2 linked regions of the Styela clava genome follow. The protein of the gene in region 1 binds, or shares a complex with, the protein of each later gene. Links are inferred from orthologs where the notes say so. Each region holds a gene or a part of one and is shown in the gene's direction. Other genes may lie near its edges. The genes, in order: putative cytosolic iron-sulfur protein assembly protein CIAO1 and cytosolic iron-sulfur assembly component 2A-like.

What was found.
Region 2: putative cytosolic iron-sulfur protein assembly protein CIAO1 (region 1) and cytosolic iron-sulfur assembly component 2A-like share a complex: the UniProt entries of both Homo sapiens proteins name them as parts of the CIA complex. The link is inferred for Styela clava from reciprocal best matches to the Homo sapiens genes CIAO1 and CIAO2A.

The regions. Positions count from the first base shown.
Region 1 is NC_135252.1:24,216,506-24,229,942, reverse strand, and holds putative cytosolic iron-sulfur protein assembly protein CIAO1, read left to right. Parts: upstream 1-7,562; 5' UTR 7,563-7,584; coding exon 7,585-8,586; 3' UTR 8,587-10,722; downstream 10,723-13,437. Other genes in the region: adenylate kinase isoenzyme 6-like, read right to left, coding at 179-317, 1,578-1,736, 4,344-4,407; uncharacterized protein LOC120342056, read left to right, coding at 10,755-10,936, 12,156-12,381, 13,403-13,437. UniProt on the Homo sapiens protein: Key component of the cytosolic iron-sulfur protein assembly (CIA) complex, a multiprotein complex that mediates the incorporation of iron-sulfur cluster into extramitochondrial Fe/S proteins.
Region 2 is NC_135252.1:20,975,494-20,987,809, reverse strand, and holds cytosolic iron-sulfur assembly component 2A-like, read left to right. Parts: upstream 1-5,966; 5' UTR 5,967-6,104; coding exon 6,105-6,144; intron 6,145-6,785; coding exon 6,786-6,915; intron 6,916-7,838; coding exon 7,839-7,972; intron 7,973-9,174; exon of another isoform or gene 9,175-9,201; coding exon 9,202-9,299; 3' UTR 9,300-10,238; downstream 10,239-12,316. Other genes in the region: uncharacterized protein LOC144421077, read left to right, coding at 5,099-5,656; uncharacterized protein LOC120343543, read right to left, coding at 11,027-11,234, 11,816-12,004. UniProt on the Homo sapiens protein: Component of the cytosolic iron-sulfur protein assembly (CIA) complex, a multiprotein complex that mediates the incorporation of iron-sulfur cluster into extramitochondrial Fe/S proteins.

The DNA.
Region 1 (13,437 bases):
CTAGTTGCCACATTATTCGGACCTGCATAGGGTAATCAGAGATGCAATGGCGATCATATTCCCGAGCACATTTCTCCAATTGTCAAACCAACGCTATATAGTATTAGATATCACATACAACCTCTTAGGCTGAGCTATCAGGAGAAACACTAGTTGCCAGAAATAAAATCATTCTGACCTTTTCTCGAGTCTGTTATATAAAATTGTGTTGTCCGTCCTCAGCACGAATACGATATCAAACCATCGTTCGGGGAAGAAATCTGAGCTGTGGTAATCAACAATGTTTCCTCCTTCACTCAGCGTGTCTTCTAGAATGTCTGGAAAACAAATTTGTGTTTTGGACACATCAGTGGGCATTACGATCATGTCAATATTAGGTTCTTGTTATTATTCTTCTCTTTCGTCATGATGAAATTGCTTTTCTCTTCGAATACTGGACCAATTGCTTTGAAATTTTCAGTGGTTAAAGACTCATTTTTTGCCAGAAGGCTATTCCTTTTACTTGTTTCAAAAATTTCTGCGGACTTTAAGAGATTCGTTTTTAGTGTGTCAGAATAAAAAATAGCGACACCTTGTGACGTGTACATATATTTGAGCACAGCTCTCTTGCTAATTTTATGATTCCTAAGCGACCTCTGACATCTAAATAGATACTATTGTTATAGACACCGGAATATTTTTCGTTCAGGAATGACTACCCAATTCATTATGGCCATGGTAAGTTAGCATCACGGGGTACTACCCATTGTCCTGTGACCCATCACCCCTGTGATGCCAAAATAGTTGGGTCCAGCGCTCTAACTTAGTGGCGCCGCGATTCATGCTAAAATCAAACCAAAATTTTTTTACCTGACAGTTGGAGTTACGTGAAACTAACTACCTACTTTACTCTATGTGGGTCCGTATGTGAATAACGCAGGAATGCTGTAGCAAGAGTGAAAATGAGAATATCGGTCAGAGACCGAAGATTTATCGATTGAAAGTTAGGGGATCTCCCAAAACAGCGCTCTTACTCAATAGTGACACCTAGTGTCCCATCACTGATTAATTAATAACTCGCTAATGATACGACATAATTCGCCTAAAATCAATAGGCTTCTGGTCCGAGATATGATAAATGAACATGCAAAATCTGGAGCAGATTCAATCTTGCTTTCGTGAGATATCGCGTGCATCTAACAGACAGACATACAGACAAATACCTATCAACATACTTACCGATTAAAATTGATAAGTAAGGATCATTCTATTTAATTTACGAGTCTTGCTGCACACTAACATAAATATAATTCTGTAACGTTTTGTCTGATTCATTGCTCCAGATCCACCAGTATGTCCCAGGCCTCAACTCTTGAGCCCTGGTCCTATGCCTATTTTTATTTAAGGTTTAAATGAGAGTTTTGAGAAAATTTTGGTACTCCTGAAGTATGCGCACCAAAATGGGTTCAGGTTGTGCACCATCTTGGTGCGCATACTTCAGGAGGTCCAAATTTTTTTTAATCATAAGCCAACTTGGGACTCACCATGCAAAATCATTCTCAAATTTGGCATAACAAATCTGAAAATCTCTGCCTTACCTATGACCCCATCTTCATCTAAGATCTGACATTCTAATTCTTCATCGTAACCCGTGTAGAGTTCATTTTCTTTCGCTATTTCACCAATGTTTATATATTTCATGTTTACACAACTTGCGAGCTCTTCTGCGAGGGTTGACTTTCCTGTACCTGGCGTGCCTGAAAGTAGTAATATTACGATTTTTAATGATAATGAAGCTTTTTTAATAAAAATTCAAATCGATCGTGACAAGCGGCTCGGCGGTGTGGCGCATCCTGCTAAGGGTTAGGAATACGCTCGCCACCGCATCTCTGATTACCCTTCGTGGGTTCGAATCCTATGCAGGGATGATCATGTGCGAGAAGATTGCTGGACTCTTCGCCGCTGCAGGATGGTTCACGTAACCGCTGGTCGGTTACGGCTTCCTTCGCCATCAAGTCCATGCTTCCGAAAACAAAATAACTGGCTAACTAATCCCATACCCGACCTGGACTGGTAACCGGACGTGGTTCACCATAGGATTAAGCCGTCTTATAGGCTTTTCTCTCCCCCGGGATAAATATGGAAACCCTATCCTATTGCAAGCGCCAACTGTCACATGATCAGATTTGCAATTTTTCAATATTGCAGAATATCAGTGTCAGTTTGCACTGATATGGAGATCCAGATAGTCTCATATAGAGGGGAATTGCACTCACTGTTATAATTGATGTCTTTCATTTAAGGGCTATTCTTGGGGTAATAGAACTGTGCCATACTGTTTTGTGTAAAAGAGCATTTCTTGAAGATGCATGGGCTTCATAATACACACAAAATAAAAATTGGAAATTCTGGAAAGCGAGAAAAACCCTTAAAAAGTTTTAGACATGAAAAATATCATGTGCCTGCTCACCCGCACAAAAAAAATCATGAAAACACAAACCTAAACATGAATAAAAAAAATATGCGAATGTATTAAACCAGGGTGGTCCAAGGTTGTCGGCTCCGCGGGTCACAATAGTGCCAAGAATAGGTAAACAGTGCAATACAAAATAAACACTTTTATTGTGCAAACACATAGTTATCAGACATAGCCATCCCAGGCTAATAGAATCCGCATTCGATTTTTAGTTTTCTATGATGACTATATTGTTAGCATATATTCCCGACCAAAAAGATAGAAATCCAGATAACAATTTAGACTGCCAAGCACATCATTCAACTTCGCTATTTGCCTCAGCCAGCCATAACACTCATTTCAGTGACATTAGTGATGAAACAATATGTCAAAAGATTTTTCTGATAAATTTGATTACGAAATAACACAAATGCGATTTATCGATTATTCTCCGAATGTGACGTGGGCCACAGATAATGAAGCGACGGGCCACATGTGGCCCGCGGGACTGGGTTTGGACCACCCTTTATTAAACATTCAGGCTGTACTTTTAAAACACTCAAGCTTATTAAAGTTCAATTTCACTATTCTAGCCACCGGAAAAACCTCGCACAGCACGTCGATTACAGACTGCCTTCTAAAAAGAATGGTGGTCTTATGTAAAAGTCGAATTACAAGCCAATTTTTTCTACATTGTGTCATGTTTCACTGAAAACCAATCATAGCCTTACGATGGTGTATGGTTGTAAAACCGCCTACAACGTTGCCGGCGGATTACAACACAGGCCCAACGTAGTTATGCTATCGACAAATCTGGGTAATGGCTAATACTACCTGATACAATATATACCTTAATTCAGCGGTTCCCAAACTAAGGGTCAAAAGGAATCTTAGTGGGTCGTGAAAAGATGTAAAAAGCTTTGATTAATTATACTGGTTATTAGGATCGGTGGCGACTCGAATACGTAAATCTTTAAAAAAAAACAAAAATAATAAATTGAATTTAAATTCTAATCTGTGACAGTTTCATTTTCACGATCTTCTCAAAGGAACAAAAATTTGCTACACAAAATCCTAGCAGTTCATTCATCAAAAATAAAATTACATTGTAGAAAATCACGAGATGGGTTGCCATAAGCTGTAGTAATAAATAGTGCGTCCCAACTCTAAGAAGTTGGGGAACCACTGCCTTAATTTGAATGTCTTGAAAGGATGGAAATATAAAATTTAATTTTCTATCTTCTCAATACTCTGTACACTGATACAGTAATACATATATCTGTTGTAAATTAAAGTAATGTCTAATTTGCCCCATCTCTCAGTGGTATTGCGATAAACCAAAGATATTTAGAGTCAAATTTAAATCTTGATTATTCGACAATATTTTTACAACGTGATGCATCAATCAATACAAAACCAAAGCGTTAATATCAGACCTGCCTACAGTTTTAATTATATATAATATATTATATAATTTATCTTAAGTTTATTGGGTTTACTTATTTCGCAATTATCTCTGTTGTTATGTGTGTGTGTGAATTAATTTAATAATTTTAGGTGAGTGAACACGTACCAGTTCTTCTTAGCCAAACCTTCCATCTTATATTCTGTACGTTTTAAACCTTATCTAAGGTTTTGTTTGCTCTCCTGATTCTATAATCGGTTTATATTTTTATTATTCATTTTAATTCCTGTTATGCAAATTATGGAGCCGAAATGACCTTATACTTATTATTTTAAAAAAATTATTTATTTTTCTGTTATTGTTCGATCAATTGATTGTTTAATTTGGTGATAATACTGGAATTAAAACAAATTAAATTAAGATAAATTGTACCTAGTAAACAAAAATAATAGTGAAAAACGAAAATACTTAAAATCGAAAACGTTATATATATAATCATCTTACCGGTTATTAAAACATTTGGAAGTTTTCTTTGGTTCATTTTGAATGTACTTCCAGCACAAAACATTCAGAAATGACGCCAATATGACGAAACTCGTAGAAACTGACCAGAACGAGTTGATCTGATGTAATTGTAAACAAATGTGACTCCACATGGAAACTCTAAAGTGACTCCTTGTGGATCAAAAATTTTTCCACACAAACCGCTAGATGACGACATTGAGTCGCATGTGAATTTCCGATTGATTACATTTCAGAAAATTGGAATGAATTTATTCAAGTTCTAATTTTTATTTTTCACCAAATTAATTGTTGGGAATACCTCAGAAATTGGGCGACCTTTTAACAATGTCATGGCATTATCCCAGTGCCACTGGCACCATAGATCACGTGAACAAAGTTGGTAAACATGACTTTTGCTTTTGTCCACTCTCAGACAATTTCGTGTTTTGCTGCTAGCTTCACAGAGGTCTCTCAGACTCTGTCTGTAGAAATCTTCAGTTTTTAGACAAATGATACATATTTTTTTTTTATTATGTTTGTTTACTATCGATGTGTAAGTCATCGAGTTCTTCTTACTTTATATTTTCTCTGTGTTTGTGTGGGCGCGTGTGCAAACTAATTCAATTATTTTAGGTGAGTGAACACATAATTTGGACGTTGTTTTGCTAGTTAGTAGGGTGGTGTAGCCAGTCTGCGGACGATTTCATTCAAACCGCGACGGCGACTAAAACAAAAACCAATATTTCCAACCCGTTAATTTTTTCACCGTAGGTGCATTGGCATTTATTCTACACGCTGAACTTCTACGACCAATTTCTAATTCTACGAATTAACTTTCTACGACCAGGGGTTAAAGCTATACAAACCACCAAAGTACGACACTCTGAAGACGTTTTTGCGACCGAACGACCAGTGTGCGATCACGAATTTCAAGCCTTGAACATCGTTTCTGCTGCGTCGAGACTAGGGCATACGCAGCCATGCGTGAAAAAATGGGCTTCTAATTGCATTTCTGACCGTCATATATTTTAAGAACACAGTTATTTCAAACAAAATTCTTCAAATTATAAACAAAGCGCCGCATCACAGCAATCAAACAGACAAAAACACGGTGGTCGCAAATTTGTTGACAAAGATATTATTGACGTATTGGAAATGCGCACCCCCCTACTCCCCCTCCTTTGAATGTAGAAACGCGAAACTTTAAAGATGGTTAAAAGAAACACAACTCTTCCCACCTGCCAAGTTTCATCTCTTTATCTCTTATATTTGTATGGATTTTTAAGCTTTTCCGAAGGAACAATGGGTAGTTGGCGACATGGTAAAATGGTCCGTTTTTTTTCTTCGGTCAGGTTTTCAGTCGTAACTTTTTTATTTGTGGTCGCATTTTAGTGTAATTTTGCAGAGCTACGAGGGATAAGTGGACGATAACGTGTGAGAAATATCGTCGCGGTTCGTTAATTTTTTCGGCATTCGTTTAATCGATGAAGTTGATGGTCGCAGATAGGTCGTGGCCGCAAAGTGGGTAAGCCACCCTACTTCTAATTGTTGAGTGAAGCAGGTCTAGCTCACCCCTTCATATATCCAACTTGGCAATTCTGATTGGGCAATTTGGCATTAGGTGACTCCAATTATAATCAGATTGACGATATCTTTCAAGGAATACTTTTCTATCCACAGTTGATTAGTCTTGTTGACTAATTCGATATCCAATTCGGCAATCTTCATAAAACTATTAATTTGGTGTGGCAAATGAGTTTACTCATTTTTTTCCTTTGTTTGTATATTTTTCTTTTTACTTTTAATTGATATTTGAGTAATTTAATTGATTTTAAGTCTCGCTTTTTCCACTTCCGACGTTATCATGTTTCAATGATTGTAGGTGCGTGCCTTAATTAATTTTTTTACTTTTGGGTGAGCGAACGCATACTACTTCCTTTATCAATACCTTTCCATCTAAAATCTGTACGTCTATGTAAAATCTAGCTAATCATGTAAAAACTTTTAACTACAAATTATTGTGGAATATTTTACCGCTTAAACCAATGTCAAGAATTAGATATATTGCTGGAGATGACCTATGTGTATTTTGGGACAAAGAAGCTGAATTTATAACACATTTATTCTGGAATTGCTCATTTGTGAAACAATTGTATGATTATGTTTTTTCTATTATTATGAAAATAACTAACAGTGGCAACTTAATAAATTATGAAACATGTACATTATTAGATTTAAGACACAATAATTATATACATTTGACCAATATAGAAAAAAATGCTATTATTTTATTGATATGTACTGCAAGATATAAAATTTGGTTGCAAAGAAATGCAGTGATTTTTGAAAATGTAATGCCAAGAGTGAATAATGTAGTCAATACTATAAGAAATTCAATAAGGTGTAGGAGAAATATAGAACGACTGAGAAATTTACCTAATTATTGTGAAGAACTTGATTTATTATGCAAATATATATAAAATATAACTAGAAGTGTTTATTGTAATGAAGTGGAACTAATTCTTGAAATTTAAAAAAAATAAATAAATCTGTACGTTTTAAACCTTACTCAAGGTTTTGTTCGCTTTCCCGATTCTATAATCAATTAATTTTATCTCTTGTTTTATTGTCTAATGCTGATTATGGAGTTGAAATAAACTTATACTTATTATACATACTGACATACCGTGCGGTACCACTTCTTCTTGGCAAAACCTTCCATCTTATATTCTGTATGTTTTAAACCTTATCTAAGGTTTTATTTGCTCTCCTGATTTCATAATCAGTTTTTTATTTATTTGTTTCTATCAATCATTTTATTGCCTGGTATGCTGATTACTGGATTATGTAGTCGAAATAAAATCATACTCATTATGTTTTGTTTACTTTAAATGTACATATTCTAAGTAATCTTCTGGTGCACTTGACCGAAAATGAGTGGCATTGACATGTTCATTGTTGGAATTCAACAACTGTTATACTTATCCTCCTAATTCAGTAATCTTTTCAGTATATCACAAAATAATATCATTCTAGGATTGCGGAAAGTTTATATCTCTCCCATTGCCATTTTTTTCTATCGCAAACCGAGTAATTAGCAGACGTAGAAAAACAAGTATAGTTTGCCTGACGAATATGTTTTTTGAAAGCCATACTTTATACTTTAAATTTACATAGTTTATGTCTTCATTTAATATTATTTTTTTTATCATTTAATAATATATTATAAATCAGCCCTATAATGTCTATCCGACAAATTGCAACGTTAACGGGACATGGTGATAGAGTATGGGGTGTTCACTGGAATCACACAGGAAAGCATTTGGCGTCTTGCAGCGGCGACAAAAGCGTGCGAATTTGGGGGCTGGAGGGTGAAAAATGGGTCTGCAAAACGATTCTCGAAGAAGGCCACCAGCGTGCAATACGAAGGGTTGCTTGGTCCCCTTGTGGGAACCGTTTAGCGACCGCAAGTTTTGATGCAACAGTTTGTATTTGGGATAAAAAATCAGGGGAATTTGAATGTATTGCAACACTTGAAGGACATGAAAATGAAGTCAAAGCTGCAGCCTGGTCCATTTCAGGGTCATATCTGGCAACATGTTCTCGGGATAAATCAGTCTGGGTTTGGGAAACCTATGATGAGGATGATTTTGAATGTGCAGGGGTCGTGACCTCTCATACCCAGGATGTAAAAGAAGTAGTATGGCATCCTAATGAAGATATTTTTGCTTCGGGTAGCTATGACGATACAGTGCGGATTTTTGAGGAGGATGACGGGGAGTGGGTTACTGGTGCAGTGTTAGAAGGTCATGACTCCACCGTGTGGTCAATTTCTTGGGATAAATCCGGCGATCGATTAGCAACAGTCTCAGATGATAAAACTTTAAAGATATGGAAACGCTATAAATCTGGCAACCCTCAAAATATTGTGACAGGGAGTTCAAAGTATTCATGGAAATGTATTTGCACTCTTTCTGGATTTCACGAAAGAACGATATTTTCCGTTGACTGGTGTCATCAAACGGGACTCATCGCTACAGCGTGTGCCGATGATGCTATTCGAATCTTTAAAGAAGATGAGAAAAGCTCTTCTGATGAACCGACTTTCAATCTGTTGTGTTCGTATAATCACTCTCACGCGCAAGATGTAAACTGCGTGTCCTGGAATCCCGCTCAGCCGGGAATCCTCGCTTCAGCGAGTGATGACTGTGAAGTTAAAATTTGGAAAATTGATGATGTTTAATCTTTTTATGAATTTTAATTCAAAACCTAATGGGAGAGTGGAGCCGATAAGAGGGCTTAATGGGTGCTCCCGAAGTATGCGAACCAAGATGGGCGGACATCGGAACGTAACATGGGTAACAGGTTATGGTTAGGCGATGATTTTTTTCCAATTTTCCTTATTTTTATCCTATTATCAGTTCGAAGACTAGCCAAGAGCCTCCCGTAGTATTTATAGCTAAAATTATGGCCTAACCCTAACCTAGTACACATTACATTCCGATGTCCGCCATCTTGGTTCGCATACTTCGGGAGCCCCGCTTAATGATATGGCGAACTATGGCCTCTCGACCATGCAATGGTGTTCGAGATTATCAATGGCTTTTAAAACTTATCCTAAGGGGAGAGGAAATTTGATAAGATGGCTTAATCATATGGAGAACCACGGCTTCTTATCTGGTTATCAATCCATGTGATGATTTTTAGGATTCTTCATAATATTTATTACTCATCCATGTTAATGGGAGATGAAAAACGGTAACGTGGCTTGATCACACAGTATGCTGTGTTGAGGCAGCTTGACTCAATTTGAATTGGACTCGAGTTATCATTTTTTAAAGACTTGAAGTGACTTGGGGCGTTGACTTTGATGACTGTCTGGTTGTATCACTCTCTCCAAAATAATTTATTACTTATTATTATTATTTTTTTTACGATGACTGTTATATTATTTTGGTTGACGAAAAAAATAAATCTCTCCTCTCTCGTCGAAATCGGTGATTCTCAAACCGTGGCCCCTTGGGCGAAATGATTTAATATGGCCCATGCCCATCGGACCTAATTGAAATAGTCCAACACTTTATAACATATATATTTTTGCATTCTAATTACTGTCAATTGTTATGTCATTATCGCAATTTTTAATGCATGTGTATATCATAACAATTTGATTTTCATCTTTTGAAAGTACTGATCGTAATGAAGTGATTCAACAAATGGCCAGTGAGACTTAATGCAGGAATTGACTAGACTTGACTTACATTTCTAATCTGGTTTTCGTTCCGAATCCAATTTTTAAGGAGCGTTGTCCAAGGCTAAAGACAAATATGACCTATATATAATATTCACAGTTTGTCATATTGAGATCTGAGCCTTCGGCCCAGTAACCAAGTCTATTCTCTGTAACTGACCCACTCAGAAGAGTAGTTGCCCTGCCTTGAAAACCAATCTATTCTTTTATATGCTGTTCACTCTGAACAAGGCTACATTACTGCTATTTTCCCCATCTTATGTGGTCCATGGCATCTTCTGGAATTTACATGTCTGGATCTTCATGTGTTTCGTGAAACTTAGTGTAAAAACATATCAATTCAGCGACCCATACCCTATCTCCATCTTTTTACACCGGAACCTGGGATATGGACGTGCCATAAACTGACTATTGTACATATCGTCGTTGTGCCGTACCTCTTTGTCTTGTGTATTTTATTTGTATAGTAATTTCATGTCTGTTGTCCTAGTATAACGCAGCAGTCCTAAACATGCATGTCGCACATCTGTGTCTTAGGCCAGTAAGGTCTTGAACATGTATCCAATCTCTGTTTTACTCTTTAATTATTATGCAGCTACTGTTACTTTTTTGAGGCAAATAAACATACATACATACATACTTTTAGCACTCATGGCCCCCTGTCCATCATTCCAGTGGTATTTAGAGTGTAATTTTATTTGGTAGATTAGTTTGACACCTGACATTGTGGCCCAACTGTTCTGTGGCCTTCCTGGGGAGGTATGGCTTCCTGGTTGGGAACTGCTGTTATGTAGTTTGGAACGACTGGTATATTTCTGGTTTGGCCCTGGGTGAGGCGCTCATTTATAATTATTCGAATGATAATTTTTAATCATTGAGGCATATCTGGTCAGAATAAGTTCTATTCAATTTAGTAGGGTATAATTCTGTCTAATTGTTTTTGCAAATATTGAGGTGTTCAACTGTTTATTTTTCACTATTAGTCAATGAGGCAAATCTGGCCAGAATATTTGCTTCTTAATCAAAGGGCTTAAGTGCTGCCACATTTATTCATTTCAAGAATATTATTATGATCTATCAGCTTTCCCATTTAATAATTTTATTGCTTTTTTTCATTTTTAAATTCAGCGAAAATTTTGTAAATAAAATCAAAAATATAAATGGAGACGCAAAAAGGCGGGAATGGTCGCGGTTCAATAAACCCAAACTATTTGCACGGTAATGCCGTAACGTCTATGATTTCACCAATTAATAAACAAGGATATTTGGGAGATTTAGAGGAAAAATCTGAACCAGAATTGAATGAATTACTGGAAAGACAGGAAAAAATGCTGAAAAATAAGTAAGTGGTATATTTTAAATTTCTGTTTGTGGGTTTTAGGTGAAATTTTCGTGTCTAGATGTTTCAATCATACTTTTCAAGTTTCATACTTTTCGAGTCGAGTATGAATCATTTTAAAAGTGTTGCTACAAGAAGGGTCACACAAACTCACTCAGAAGTAAAGGAGCCATTGTGTAGAGAAGTGTTTCTCAACCTAGGGTCGCCTTTAAATTTTTTTTTCGGTCGCTTGTTTTTTCAACCAACTTTAATAGTCTTCATTTTCAGGTAAATTTTATTGTTGATAAGTATGTTGATAGGTATTTGTCTGTATGTCTGTCTGTTAGATGCACGCGATATTTCACGAAGGCTTGGTTGAATCTGCTCCAAATTTTGCATGTGCATTCATCATATCTCGGACCAGAAGCCTATTGATTTTGGATGAATTGTGTCGTGTATTAGCGAGTTATTAATTAATTAGTGATGGAACACACGGTGTCACTATAGAGTCATGAATCGAAACCACAGTTTCGATTGATAAGTCTTCGATCTCCGACCTATATTCTCGTTTATTACTTATCGATTTTAATCGGTACTTTAATCTTACGAAAGCGAGGTTGAATCTGCTCCAGATTTTGCATGTGGATTCATCATATCTCGGACCAGAAACCTTTTGATTTTGGATGAATTATGCTGTATAATTAGCGAGTTATTAATTAATTAGTGATGGGACACAAGGTGTCACTATGGAGTAAGATTTTTTTGGGGGGGATCCCTTAACTTTCGATCAATAAGTCTTCGGTCTCTGACCGATATTCTCGTTTTATATTTGGTATTGAAGTGTTGCTCAATAGTAGTTTTATACATGGGGAGTATCAGAGGATAAAAGCTTTGCAGCTTTTATTATGGTTTATTTAAGTAAGACCATGGCACGCTGAGGGCAAAAATATCAGTCTTTCAATTTTGCGGCCATAAAAGTATTTGTCATTTCGTATTTGAGCATATCCTTGAGTCATGAGATTTTACAAAACTCATTTTTTTTAGAAAGTTTGGTTCGCTTGAAAAAAAAAAGGTTTGAAACCTCTGATATAAAGTAAACAAAACAGGGCTTGTGAACATTTACATCCGACTGATACCCGAAGGGCTACTGTGTTCTTCGAATGACCCAAATCATTTTACTATCAAATTGTATTAGACTTATATTTATGAAAGACTTTTGATTCCTGGAACATCTTTCTTTCAGAAAATTTGTTGAAAGGCTTCCAGATAAAGGAGAGAAAATTCAAAATTTTGTAAAAACTTTAAAAGAATTATTAGAAAAAAGAGAGAAAGAAAGAGAAGAAGGCAAAGTGACAGAATCATTCAACCATCATGTTGAAGATGACCCCAACATGCCAGGTTTAGAAGAAATTCCGACGGACGATAGAAGCTCCAGAATGGAACTGGGTGAAGATACACAGTTGCCACATGTAGGTGTTGTGAGTTGGTATTGCTGCTTTTGGCACTGCTGCTTTATACTCAGTATGAACATATAATTAGTAAATGCCCACAAACATAACCAGAGTAACCCTCAAGGCACCCCAACAGTAATGCGCCCCCAAGTACAGAGAGCACATGACTACTTCATCTTCACAACTGTGATCAATCATCTGTGACTGATGACATCACAGGTCATGCTACAATGAAGGTACAGATAACTGTTTTGGCATATATTTTTGTGACATTTTTTACTCCACTGTTTCTAAACATTTAATCTGAATAAGGGGCACGATTGCTTGGCGGTTGGATGGTTAGGTCTTGCACGATGCCAGAGTACTTTGTTTATAACGAATGGCACGAATAAACGATAAGCACAGCCTTGTATTAAAGCAGGGGTGGGCAACATACGGCCCGTGGGCCGGGTCCGGCCCGCGACGAGATTTTGATCGGCCCGCTGACTGTATCCAACCACACTCTGTAATGTGGCCTGACGTATCATTCATGAAAGTTGCCGACCGCTCTACTCTCACCGCACTATCTGTGCGAGCTGGTGAAATAAACAATTGCCTTAGTGAACAAACAATTGTGTTAGCACACTTGTTGAACAAATAATACAAGGTCAAAGCAGAGAACATAGATTCTGAATATAAATAAAATTTAGATTTTATATTAAGTTTTATTAACCATGGAATATCTCAAGAAACGTAAAGTTGACAGAGAGTGTCATCGAGTGTCGTTTAATTTTCTTTCTTGCATAAGCGAATAAATATGTGATTAAGATATTGAATACTATTCGTGTTATAATCCGGCCCACCAAGGACTTCATTTTCCCCTATCTGGCCCGCCGACTAGAGAAGTTGCCCACTCCTGTATAAGAGCATTGGCGTTCGCTTGCAACTTCTCAGTTATATTCCCACTTTTAGTGAGGGCTCGAGACATTGTTTGAGTGAAAAATTTTTAACGATGATTATGCTTTTGATTTTAAAATGTCTGAAAATTTTTCTTTCTTAGGAGAAAGAATTGAAAATTATAGAAAGGGGATTCGA
Region 2 (12,316 bases), about 3.2 Mb from region 1:
GATTCACATGTTTATCCCACGGGGAGATGAAAGACGATTAAACAGCTTAATCATATAGCGTACTACTGGGGAGAGAAAATCTGATTAGGCGGCTTAAACATATAGATCATGTCGGGTATAGGATTAGTTAGCCAGTTATTTGTTTTCAGGTAAATGGCTTAAAGGTGGAGGAAGCCGTAACCAGCCAGCGATTACATGAATCATCCTACAACGACGAGGATCCCAGCAATCCTCTAACACGGGATTCGAACCGCGTAGGGCGGTGGTCGGAAACCTTTCGTCGCTGGCGGGTCAAAATTAAGGGTTGCAAGTCTTGGCGAACCGCACATATTTTTTAGAAGTTAAAAACGGAACAGCGCGGAAAGACTGCGACAATTCGTGAACTCAACTTATCCTCTTACAAATGACATTTAATTTGTCCTGTTGTTGCATCACGCTTTTTGAAATCAGTGGTACACCGAATGAAGCCAAGTTTAGAACATTTTCTACATGGGCATCACTAATTCTAGTTCTATGCTTGTTCTTTGTAATGTTCATTTTAGAAAATGATTGTTCGCACGCATAGGTACTTCCAAATATTGAAGTGAATTTTTTCGCATAGGCTGATTAAACGAGTAGCTGTTCACTAAATTTTTAGGTTATAATATATATAATTTAGTCTAAACGTATCCAACAATAAATTTTGTTATGTAAAGAATATAATCTACTCCTCAAACGTAGATTATAAAATCAATTCATCGTCGAAACCGCTGTTTTGTCGCTATAATTCAGTGAAGCGTCGCGGGCCGGATTAGTTGCCGACCCCAGGTGTAGGGTGATCAGAGGTGCGTTGACAAATATTCCGGACGCTTAGCACGATGCGCCACGTGTATAAAATAAGGCATAGTTAGGCTTACCCTACGTCCCGCTTTAGGCGGGACAGTCCCGCTTTTTAGCGTTTTGTCCCGCCGTCCCGATAAGTTAGCTAAAAGTCCCGCTTTTCCAGCATAATACACAAACATGTTCTCGTTACTGTTGTTTCTGTGTAGCGCAGCGCTAGCTACTTACTGAATGTGAATGCAATCGTTTCCCGCTAATTCCCATTGATGGCAGACGTATCGCGTGTAAAACCAATACTAATTAGTCTAAATTCGATCTATTTGTACCGGTATCGTTAACGTCAATTCCTTCCTATTTTTCGAACTGAACCCGATATTTGGAAAGAGAATATGCGCATGAAATTTCGATAACAAAATGGTCAATAAAGACAGCCGAGACAGCTTTAAATGTAGGAATGTATGCCTATGTAGTAAAATCGGAAAATGTGAAGTTACAAAATCACAGATAAGGGGTCGTTGTCATTTGAGGCGTCCCGATTTGAAGTCACAAAAATATGGTAACCCTAGGCATAGTAGCACATGTAAGTTGGCTTGGCGTGACAATTTTTTCTTTCATTCCAAACCAGAATTATAAAAAAAATTAATAAAAAATATGCACCATAAAAACGATTTTTATAAAACGTTAATCTGCCCAGAGCTGTGCAGCCGGCGCGAATTTGCAACCGACTCGCGATTTCGAGTTGAAAACGAACAGGCTCCGAATCTAGATTTCGACCCCGTGTTGTAAAAAGATTTGACTCCGACTCAAGTCCCGAACTCCGGAAAATTGAAATTTGACATTGGATACATTGGCGTCCACAACTTTTTTAATAGAATGTTAAACTTAGCACGCTGTAAGTTTTGAGTTTAATTTCCAGTTGTTTCATTATCATTCAAATGCAGCGATTGCAACCCCGGGAAATTCAGAATTTGACTCCCCGACTCCAGTGAGATTGAAAATACGACCCCGGCTTCGACTCTTGTGAAAATATGCTAAATATCTGGTACTCCCGATGTATGGTAACCAAGATGGCGGACACCGGAACGTAGTATGTGTATCAGGTTAGGGTTAGAAAATAATTTCAGGTACACATACTACGGGAGTCACTTGGCTAGTCCCCGATCTCGTAATATAACTGAAATAAGGAAAATTGGAATAAAATTCTGGCCTGACCTTAACCTGGTACACATACTACGTTCCGATGTCCGTCATCTTGGTTCACATACTTCGGGATCGGGAGCACCAAATATCCGTCTCCCTAAATCTAGTAATACAACTAGTTCATTATCTTCCAACCTCGAGCCTCGTAAGCCTCGGCAGGGTTGAAGCATGGCTTACACCTTACATAATGGTAAACATATTAATCAATATCTAATTAAAAATAGGATAGGATTTACATATTTATCCCGGGGGAGAGGAAAGCCGATAAGACGGCTTATCCATATGGCGAACCACGGCCTCTCGTCCGGTTACCATTCCAAGTCGGGTATGGGATTAGTTTTTACTGTATTGTTTGTTTTCGGAAGCATGGACTTGGTGGTGGAGGAAGCCGTAACCGACCAGCGGTTACGTGAACCACCCAACGACGGCGAGGAGTCCAGCAATCCTCTCGCACATAACCATCCCTGCATGGGATTCGAACCTGCGAGTAATTAGAGGTGCGGTGGCGAGCGTATTCCTAACGCTTAGCCCGTTGAGCCACACCGCCGCGCCAATAAGAAGTATAATTGAGATTTTTCACTGTTCAATCATTTTAAATTAATTAATTAGCCCTATCGGTTAGTAACAAACCGCGTTTTCAGTGAAATGTACCAACCCATCATCAATCTCGCCTACTTTATTGCCTTAATGCTGTAGTGTATTGTGTGTAAAACTTATAACATCCGATGGTGTAGGCCCAATGTTACGCCTATCGGTATAGATATTTAATTAAACCCGCAACTGCCTGCCCGGAGCATTGTTCTGAAAAAAAAACCACAACACTTTATGACACAAGTTTGGTACTATTTTCGCGTATTGGACAAAAGCAAAAATGTAAGTGTAGTACTATACTACACCCTTTTGCCGTGTATAATTCAATAGGCCCGCACCTGCTTGTCTACGGCCTTCATCGAGGCGAAAATATGGAACGCTTGACGAATGAGAATGGTACTATTCCTCAGCGACGGTTTTAGACCACGCAACTTACGCGGGCACCGCGCAAAGTCTGTGAGAGAGTTATTAAATTTAATTAAGCTATTATTATTATATAATCACATACGGGTCAGCATGTTTATTCTGTACACGCAAGACTCGTCAAGCTAATCGTGATTTAGTAGGCCTACTTAGTTCAAAGGTAATAGATGTAAATACGAATCCATTTTCTAGTACAAAATCTTAATTATGATCATGTCTACCTAGACTAGGCCCCGTCTAATCCCTTTTGCATAGGGCCCAGCATTAGTTAAATTCGACCCAACTGTTCCTCGCCTATCGATTGATGTAAAATAAATGATTGTCTTATATGTGGTACTATAATAGACTATATATTTGTATTAATAAGCCCATTCCAGCTAATCTTCGTTTCGAGTGAAATCGTAAAAGTGTCTACAGGTCTACTGGGCTCGGCGGTGTGGCGCATCGTGCTAAGCGTTGGGAATACGTTCGCCCCGGCATCCCTGATTACCTTCGTGGGTTCACAGGTTCGAATCACATGCGGGGATGATCATGTGCGAGAGGATTGCAGGACTCCTCGCCGCCGTAGGGTGGTTCACGTAACCGCTGGTCGGTTACGGCTTCCTTCACCATCGGATACATGCTTCCGAAACAAAATAACTGGCTAATTAATCCCATGCCCGACCTGGACTGGTAACCGGACGAGAGGCCGTGGTTCGCCATATGACTAAGCCGTCTTATCGACTTTTCTCTCCCCCGGGATAAATATGTAAATCCTATCCTACCGTGCTTTCCTCAACGCTTAATAATAAAAAATGGTACATTGCAAGTATACTTCTTCCGTCTATATTTATAGAGTGGGAAAGGATGCGGTTTTATTGTTTATCCCGGGGGAAAGGAAAGCGCTAGCCAGCAGTAACAAACCTTCATGTGGGTAGAAAGGTCCATCAAAACGCTACGTCCCTGCCACTGTTTATTTAAATTCACATATGTATGCCAGTTTGCTCATATTTATTTTAAGCTTTGCGACATAATCCCGAAAAGAGAGATTTCGAATGCGCGAATGAATTTGTTTGTACACTTTTTGTTTTGCATTGACGAGTGATCGCCTCTTTACTTACACAAGATTACTTACGTAATTGTGACATCGCGATGGCGTAATTTTTGATGACGTAGTCTGCTGGACGTCATGGAAGACACACGAAAAAATTATAAGAAATAGTACTATTATTTAAGTTTATAGACTTTTCAAGCATTCTACCGATATATAAAAACAAGCTCGTTTCTGTTGGGGTGAATTTCGAACACTGTTATGAATCAGCAAGAATGATCACGTGATAAGTCTTGTTTTTGACAATGCTGACTGGCTAATTTATCAACTGCAAGTTTGACCGTGAATATATACTACTACGGTTTGACAGGCAGCGACCTTGGCGGTTGTGTTTTTGTAGTAATTAGTAGCCTAGTACCTGTACATTACGGGAGACTGTGACGCCCAAGTGCGTCAGAATGCAGAATAAATTTTTCATAAGATAGTTTAATTAAATCTTACCCTTTACCTTGAAGATAACTGGTTAACTAATCCCATACCCCGCCTAGACTGGTAACCAGACGACCCCCCCGGGATAAATATGTAAATCCTATTCTACCCAACCAATGGTATCAGTTTTGTTTTTATCAATTATTTACATGATTTGGTCTTCATGGAGGCATGTTTATAAAGGACAGCTGTTTTATTTGAAATTTGTGTGACATTCTTCTCTGTGATACTGTATGTTTTATCACTTGAGTTTGGTACCGGTATGCTGGTATGTGATGGTGAATGACTAAACGGGAATTCGATATCCCACACCTGCAGACTTGTTACAAATCCTACTCTTTTTTTAAGGGTTGGTCGAACTTGCGATCTTGGCTGCCAAAGTTTTATTGTTTTTAATTGCAATGTGTAGCCTACTTTAAGGGTATTTGAAATAAATCACTATCTCTCCTCATTTGCCACATCTCTGTGCAACATGTCATAGACAAGGCTGCAAGGATTGAAATAAAATTCCATTGTTTTCATAACAGATTTTTATTAAGCAATGAAATGAATTTATTACGAACTGCAACCAGGAGGGCTTTGTTACTAGAACGCCTAGTTTTTGTCGAAAAACATTTGTTAAATCAGAAAAACTGGCTGGCAAAGTCAATACCAGCATGCAACTATGCGGAGAAAACATATACAAGAAAAGTGTTTCGACCGGCAATAGGAGATAATGATGTTGTTGAAATTGAAGAACAAGAAGTCGTAGACAAAAGAAAGACTGAAAGTGAAATTTATTTAGAGAGAAAAAAAGAAATTCATCAAAATAAAAAAAAAGTTCGAAAATTAACAAGAGTAGATAAAATGATTCTTGTTTTTGTTGGGAAGTTTGAAAATATGAAAGATGTTCCCGATCAACTGACTTTTAAAACTCTTGAGAAAAAGCAAGAGGCTGATGCTGAAGTAAAACATCTCATGCTTGGAAGCGTTTTTAAATATGGATATTTTTTCGAGTATGCTTCTTTCTTCATGACTTTTTCTCTCCTGGGATATGCACTTTATTATTATAACAAACAAAAAGAAAGTGCGGAAACATCCACTAGCAAAAATGCTGATTCATGAAATTTTATGTCACTACGTTGGAAGTAGTCTCTCATAAGCTCAGAGCATATACTCCGAATCTGACTCAAGAGCAATTAAAAAAAAATTGACTTTGTTAAAGCTGAACTGTGAAAAAGGAAAGTTAAAGTATCATTTCTGTGCACATAAACGATTAATGTTAGTTTCACCAATTTTTATCATTATTTGACAACACCTATAAAATGTGAAATAATAAGATAAACTGTATTGAATTTTTCAGATATTTATTATAATGTATAGGTGGTACCTTAATTGGTTTAAATTCTTGCTAGATTATAACTGTCTGTTATAAAAGAATAACCTTTGTCATATTGGTTTTTGTTTGGTAAAATTATACATTAATGAATTTGATATATTTTTGTTTCATGATAATTTGTATATCTTTAAAAAACAGCTACACTTTTTGTGTCGTAGTTTTGTAAATACAACAATGGATTTGGACATTGACACACACAAAGGGACAATATATGGTATGAAAAATGTCAACTGTTAGTCGTTTATGCCAGGGCTGTAAGGTCTGACAAAATTTACAAGCTCCAGGCTGAAGTAAATCGTCGATTCGATGTTAAGAAGAATTTTGACTGCCAATTCTATGTGTTAAAAAATTTTGACTACAGCTTCGAGCAATGATTCTAGTAAATTTTTTTTTATTCTTGTAGTTCCCAGGCCTTTAGTGGTCGATGTTAAATTCGTTTAGAAATCAATCTTCTTTATTTCTAAACGAGTGAACATGACTTTACTCTAAGAAAGTTCTTTCAAAAAAAAAAAAATAGTATACCGATGTTGTATTCATCATTTTTCAGTGCTCCCGTAGTATGTGAACCAAGATGGCAGACACCGAAACGTAGTATATGTACCAGGTTAGAGTTAGGCCATAATTTTATTCTAATTTTCCTCATTTTAGTTCTATTACGAGTTCAAGGACTAGCCAAATGACTCCTGCAGTATTTGTACTTGAAATTATGGTCTGACCCAGTACATATACTACGTTCCAGAGTCCGCCATCTTGGTTCACATACTACATGAGTACCCATTTTTCCACCAGTTAATGTTAATTGGAACCCTTTTTCAATGAAAACTCTGGGATTACTAATTGTCACCTTTGTTATAGATCTTCTGCGAACAATAAAAGATCCTGAAAAACCTGGAACTTTAGAAGATTTAGATATTGTGTATGAAGAAGGTATCAGAGTAGAAACAGATGCTGATCAAGAACGATACTTCGTCGAAGTTGATTATAAGTCAGTATAGTTCTTGTATTATTCTTGCTATTGGGGTTAGTCATTTTCATTATAGCTGTTTTGTATTTTCACTGCCCTTGCGTATATGTCACTGGTGTGGGTAATCCAGTAGTGTGTGTACCATGTTAGGGTTAGGCCATATTTTTATTCCGATTATTTTAGTTCTTTTACGAGTTCGGAGACTGTCTGTTTTAGACAAGTAAATAAAGCCCCTGATTTCAGTTCCTTTACACAACTTGATATAAAATGGGCGAATAATATTAGTTACCTCCACTTCTGGAGCGCCCTGGTGTGTAATATCGCAATGCTTCCACGTTCGTTTTGTGAGAATTTCATCTTGGTTTTCACTTATATTCAATGTCACAAGATGATGTGGGGCTGTGGGCATGAAGTACTTTTAAGTTTTTTTTTGTGTCCTGTGCCTTAAAACATAACAGAGTTTAAAATGGATTCTTACCTTATTAATGCTGGGGTGTGCGTCATGCTTAGAGTTTAGAAAAAGCTTGTCATTGCATCACTTTTTGATCCTCTGACGGTTCATTGTGTATTAGGTGAGAATATAAGTCAGGAAACATGGTGACCTTCTTTCTAATAAGATGTTAAGCTAGGAAGAATTATGTGTGGCTAGAGGAAAGTCGATAGGACTGCTTAATCATATGGCGACCCACAGTTGTCCGGTTACCAGACCATGTCGGGTATGGAATCACTTAGCCATTTATTTGTTGTCGGAAGCATGGACTTGATGGTGGAGTAAGCTGTAACTGACCAGTAGTTACATGAACCGCCCTTTGACGGTGAGGAGTCCATCCTCTCGCATATAAGTTAACCATCCTTGCATGCAAGCATATTCCTGACACTTACTGAACTGGTGATGCAGCATCCTGAATGAACAATCTTAACAGCATTAATATTCAATATTGCAGACCTACGATTCCCCATTGTTCACTTGCTACACTTATTGGACTATGCATGAGAGTTAAATTAGAGAGAAATCTTCCAACCAATCATAAAATATCTATCAATGTTGCTGAAGGCACACACAACACTCGTGACGAAAGTAAGTGAATTCTCGAGGAGCAGTACAATTTTTTATACTGTGCTTATATGTGTAGTGTTTCGCCCCCATCTGCAAAGTTCCCTAACTTGCTAAGCTTTCCCCGAAACATCACACAATGTTTGCACCCAAAATAAGAGGCTTTTACTGCTACGATTCAGTATGCACAAAAGTAACTAATACAACTTGAACAAACGGCAAATGAGAATATCGGTCAGAGACCGAAGACTTATCGATCGAAAGTTAGGGGATCCCCCAAAACAGCGCTCTTACTCCATAGTAACACCTGGTGTTCCATCATTAATTAATTAATATCTCGCTAATTATACGACATAATTCATCCAAAATCAATATGAATGCACATGCAAAATCTGGAGCAGATTCAATCTCGCTTTCGTGAGATATCGCGTGCATCTAACAGACAGATACTTATCAACATGTTTACCGATTAAAATCGATAAGTAATAACCATACATCAGGCTGCCTAACTGCTGGGTCCACACTTTTGTGTTAGCTGAAGCATGGTGCTTATTTGACACAGTGCTTTTGAACAACAGTTGGCCCATTATGCTAAGAGTTAAGAACCCCAAACACACTGCGGCAAATCTTTATGTACCGGAGGATTTCTGGACTCTTTGAGACATCAGGTGGTTAACGTAACCGCTGGTTGGTTCCACCATGAAGACCATGCATATTAACAAATACCTATTTCCATATGGACATGGATCAATAACCAGATGAGAAGCCATAGTTCGCCATATGATTATTAAGCGGTCTTATCGACTTTCTCTCTAATCAATTGTTCTCTCAATCATTCATAAGGTTGGAAGCAGTACTTTTGCACAAAAACTTTATGGATGAACAGATAATTCATAATATATCGCTTGTAGATGAATTAGATTATATGTTCTCAAAGGGCTCTTTGAGAGAAACCTGAAGCTCCGCGAAGAACTGTTAATAACTGTTCAAAGAAGCAATAACAGCATTACTAAGACTTGATAACGGTAGCGTCTAAATTAGGCAACGAGGCCAATAGATGATTTTTATAAATATATTGAGGGGCTCCGTAAATAATAATCAACAGGATCCAAAACACTAAAAGTTTGAGAACCTCTCCCTGGATTGGATGATATGTTCTGAGTGACCAGGCTCTGATCAAATTTCCTTGAGAATTTCTCGGCTTACTATAGCGTTGTGAATTATCATCCAATTCATAAATTTCTTATTTTCAGTCAATAAACAAATCAATGATAAAGAAAGAACCAGTGCTGCAATGGAAAATCCAAATATCAAGAAAGTTGTTGAAAAATGCATCCAAGAACCTGACTGACACGTACGTTGGTCGTACAACACTCTGAACTTCATGTGACAACTGACAGTGGTCATGTTGGCGTAATTGAATAAATGCAGTATTTAAATTATAAATCAATTATTTTTCAAAAAAATCAGAATATCTGATATTTCAAAATCTAATTCTTGTATTAAATTCAGTGGTACTCCCACAGTGTGTATTAGGTTAGGATTAGGCCATAATTTTATTCTGATTTTTCTTTATTTTAGTTCTATTACGTGTTCGGCGACTGCCTGTGTTAGCCAAGTGAATATCCCCTTTGCCCATAGGTTTCAGTCCCTTTACACAACTTGTTGTATAATATGAGAACAAAATTAGTTCCCTCCATATTGGTACACACACTTCTGAAGCGTCCATCTCTCCATATAACTATTGTTCACAATTCTGGGGGCCAGTTCAGTTGCACTTCCAATTTTATTATTTTTTAGGATTACAAAAACCAATATGACACGCCCATAAGCCTTGACTTCAAGAACCCTTAGCAGGCATCCGAAAATGTCTTTGAATGCTAAAACTTCAATCATATACAGGGTTGTTAAACAGCTATTCATCTAACAAGGAATAACCTTTGCAAAAGTTTTTTAAAGGCATATGTTGTCCGTGCCCTTCAGAAAAGTGTCTTAACCTAGAAGTCCAAGCTCGTTCAGAGTTTTGAAGGTAAACTTGTGGGATCCAATTCAACCTATACACATTTATTTGTTATCAACATCTTAACTGATCTTCAAATTTTCTTCTTGCCACCAGCGTGTATATATGTTGATTGGGAACTGTTCCACACCTTAACAAAAGAGTGTTTCTTCATATTCGATTAATCTAGGATCTGCGCAAAGAGTTACTGTCATAAATTTTTAATTCTACCTATTATCTTGTTTTCTGTGATATGAATTTAGTTTTAATAAACATATACCATATAATTTGATCTGAAATCTTTCCCTACCATCGTAGCGGGACTTGATATGATTTATTTATAATTAAAAAGTGTATCCGTGAAATTGGTAATAACTTAACTATGGTGCCACAGTCACTCGGGTTGGAATGAAACTTTAACTTTAACAATGAGGAGCAATTAGCAAGTTATGCTTATAATCCGATCTTAGTTTATCAAAATATTTTGCAAGGAGTGAACGAAAAATTACCAATATTACTGATGCCCATAATCTTCTTGTTCAGTCTCAATTACATTATCAGCAAAATGCCAGACATCCTTCTTTTAACAAATATTTAGAATGGGATTTACATATTGATTACCCTGTGAGAGAGGAAAGTCAATAAGACGAATGGCGAACAACGGCCTCTAGTCCATGTTGGGTATGGGATTAGTTGGCCAGTTATTTCTTCCAGATGCATGAACTTGATGGTGGAGGAATGAACCACCTCACTGCGACAAGGAGTATATGCGATCCACGAAAAGCGAACCCACGCAGGGTAATCAGAGGTGCAGTGGCGGGCTTAGCACCATGCACCACACCACCGATTGTCTCAGTATTATTTCTTTGAATATGGGTTGACTGACAAAAATTTTAAACAGAATCCAGCACGATGAGCCCTTATTCCATTGTCATTTCCAGCAGACTCCCTTTTTTTCAAATGTCGGCTGGACATATAACAATTCATGACAGATGGATACAGAGCTTGTGTGCTTTCTCAGTTTCTGCTAATAGTACCAGTACTATTGACCTTTTTATTTGTCAGCAAGTTCATGACTGTCATGTAGTTACTTCTGATTTCTTCCTTTTTTTCTTCTTAGGCTTAACATTATGGTTAGAATCACCAGAAGTGGTTAATCGATTGTGATTTGTCAACTTTGTGTTTTTATTGACACATCTCTGAAAAGCCCCCTCCCCACTGTTCAAAATAGTGTCTCCAGTCATGCATACCGAGGCAAATTTCAGTCTTTCCTCTTCGTCCGAAGATCTGTATAAATACAAAATTGTAAATTTGTGGACAAGATAGATGTTTGACAATGGTAGTGTCTAAATGGGGCAACAAGGCCAATAGATAATTTTCATAAATTTTAGTGCCGGACTTCGTAAATAATAGTCAACCTCTTCGCAGGCTCCATAACACTAAAAGTTTGAGAACTGAATTCTGGCACCATAGGTAAAGATCTTAGATCAACCCCATCGCTAACACTAACTTGGGCAGCAATTTTTCAAAAATAGCATATCAGCAGAGTTTTGTGTAGAGTAAAAATGTGGCTACGACTCCTAAAGAAATCATAAATTATTAGGTTAACAAACTGATATTAACTTGCTTTCTGATGTGCATTATAGTTTGAGATGACAATAGCGAAGTTTAAGATCAAAAGGTGCAATTGAAAGTGTATAGCATGGTGCGACAACCACCTATGATATGATAAAATATGATTGTCGTGATCAGAATTCGAAAGAGTAAACATTTTTATTTCAAAGATCATCCAGATGAGGATACACTCAGGGATTCTCAACGGTATTACCACTATCTATAGAGATTATTTTCAATCTCAAAGTTCTTACTCATCTGAAGATAAAGCTGTGGAACGTTTCTTCATCTTTGATTGTTTCAATCTGAGATTCAATATATCTCGATCATTTGCTTCCTTCAGAAAAGATTCTGATGACTGGAGTAATTTTATCCCACAGTTATCAAGGTCTTGTGTGTTGTTTGGTTTTGTAATGTTGGGATTTTTCTGTATTTCTATTATTCTGAAATAATATTTAAAGATGGGTGAGCGTCGAGCGAACATGTACTACTTTTTTGGACATTACCTTTTCATCTAAAATCTGTACGTTTCAAACCTTACTTGGGGATTTGTTCACTTTCCCAATTATTTAATCAGTTTCATTTGTTTTGTTTTTATCAATTAGTTCGTGTTCTATGCTGATTATGGGTCAAAATATAGGTTTATTATTTATCTGAATATTGTGTATCTTGGTTATGATTCTGTCATCGAAAATAGAGAGTTTGATATTAAACTACAAACCAAATGCTTTTAGGATTCTGGCCTTTATTTTAAA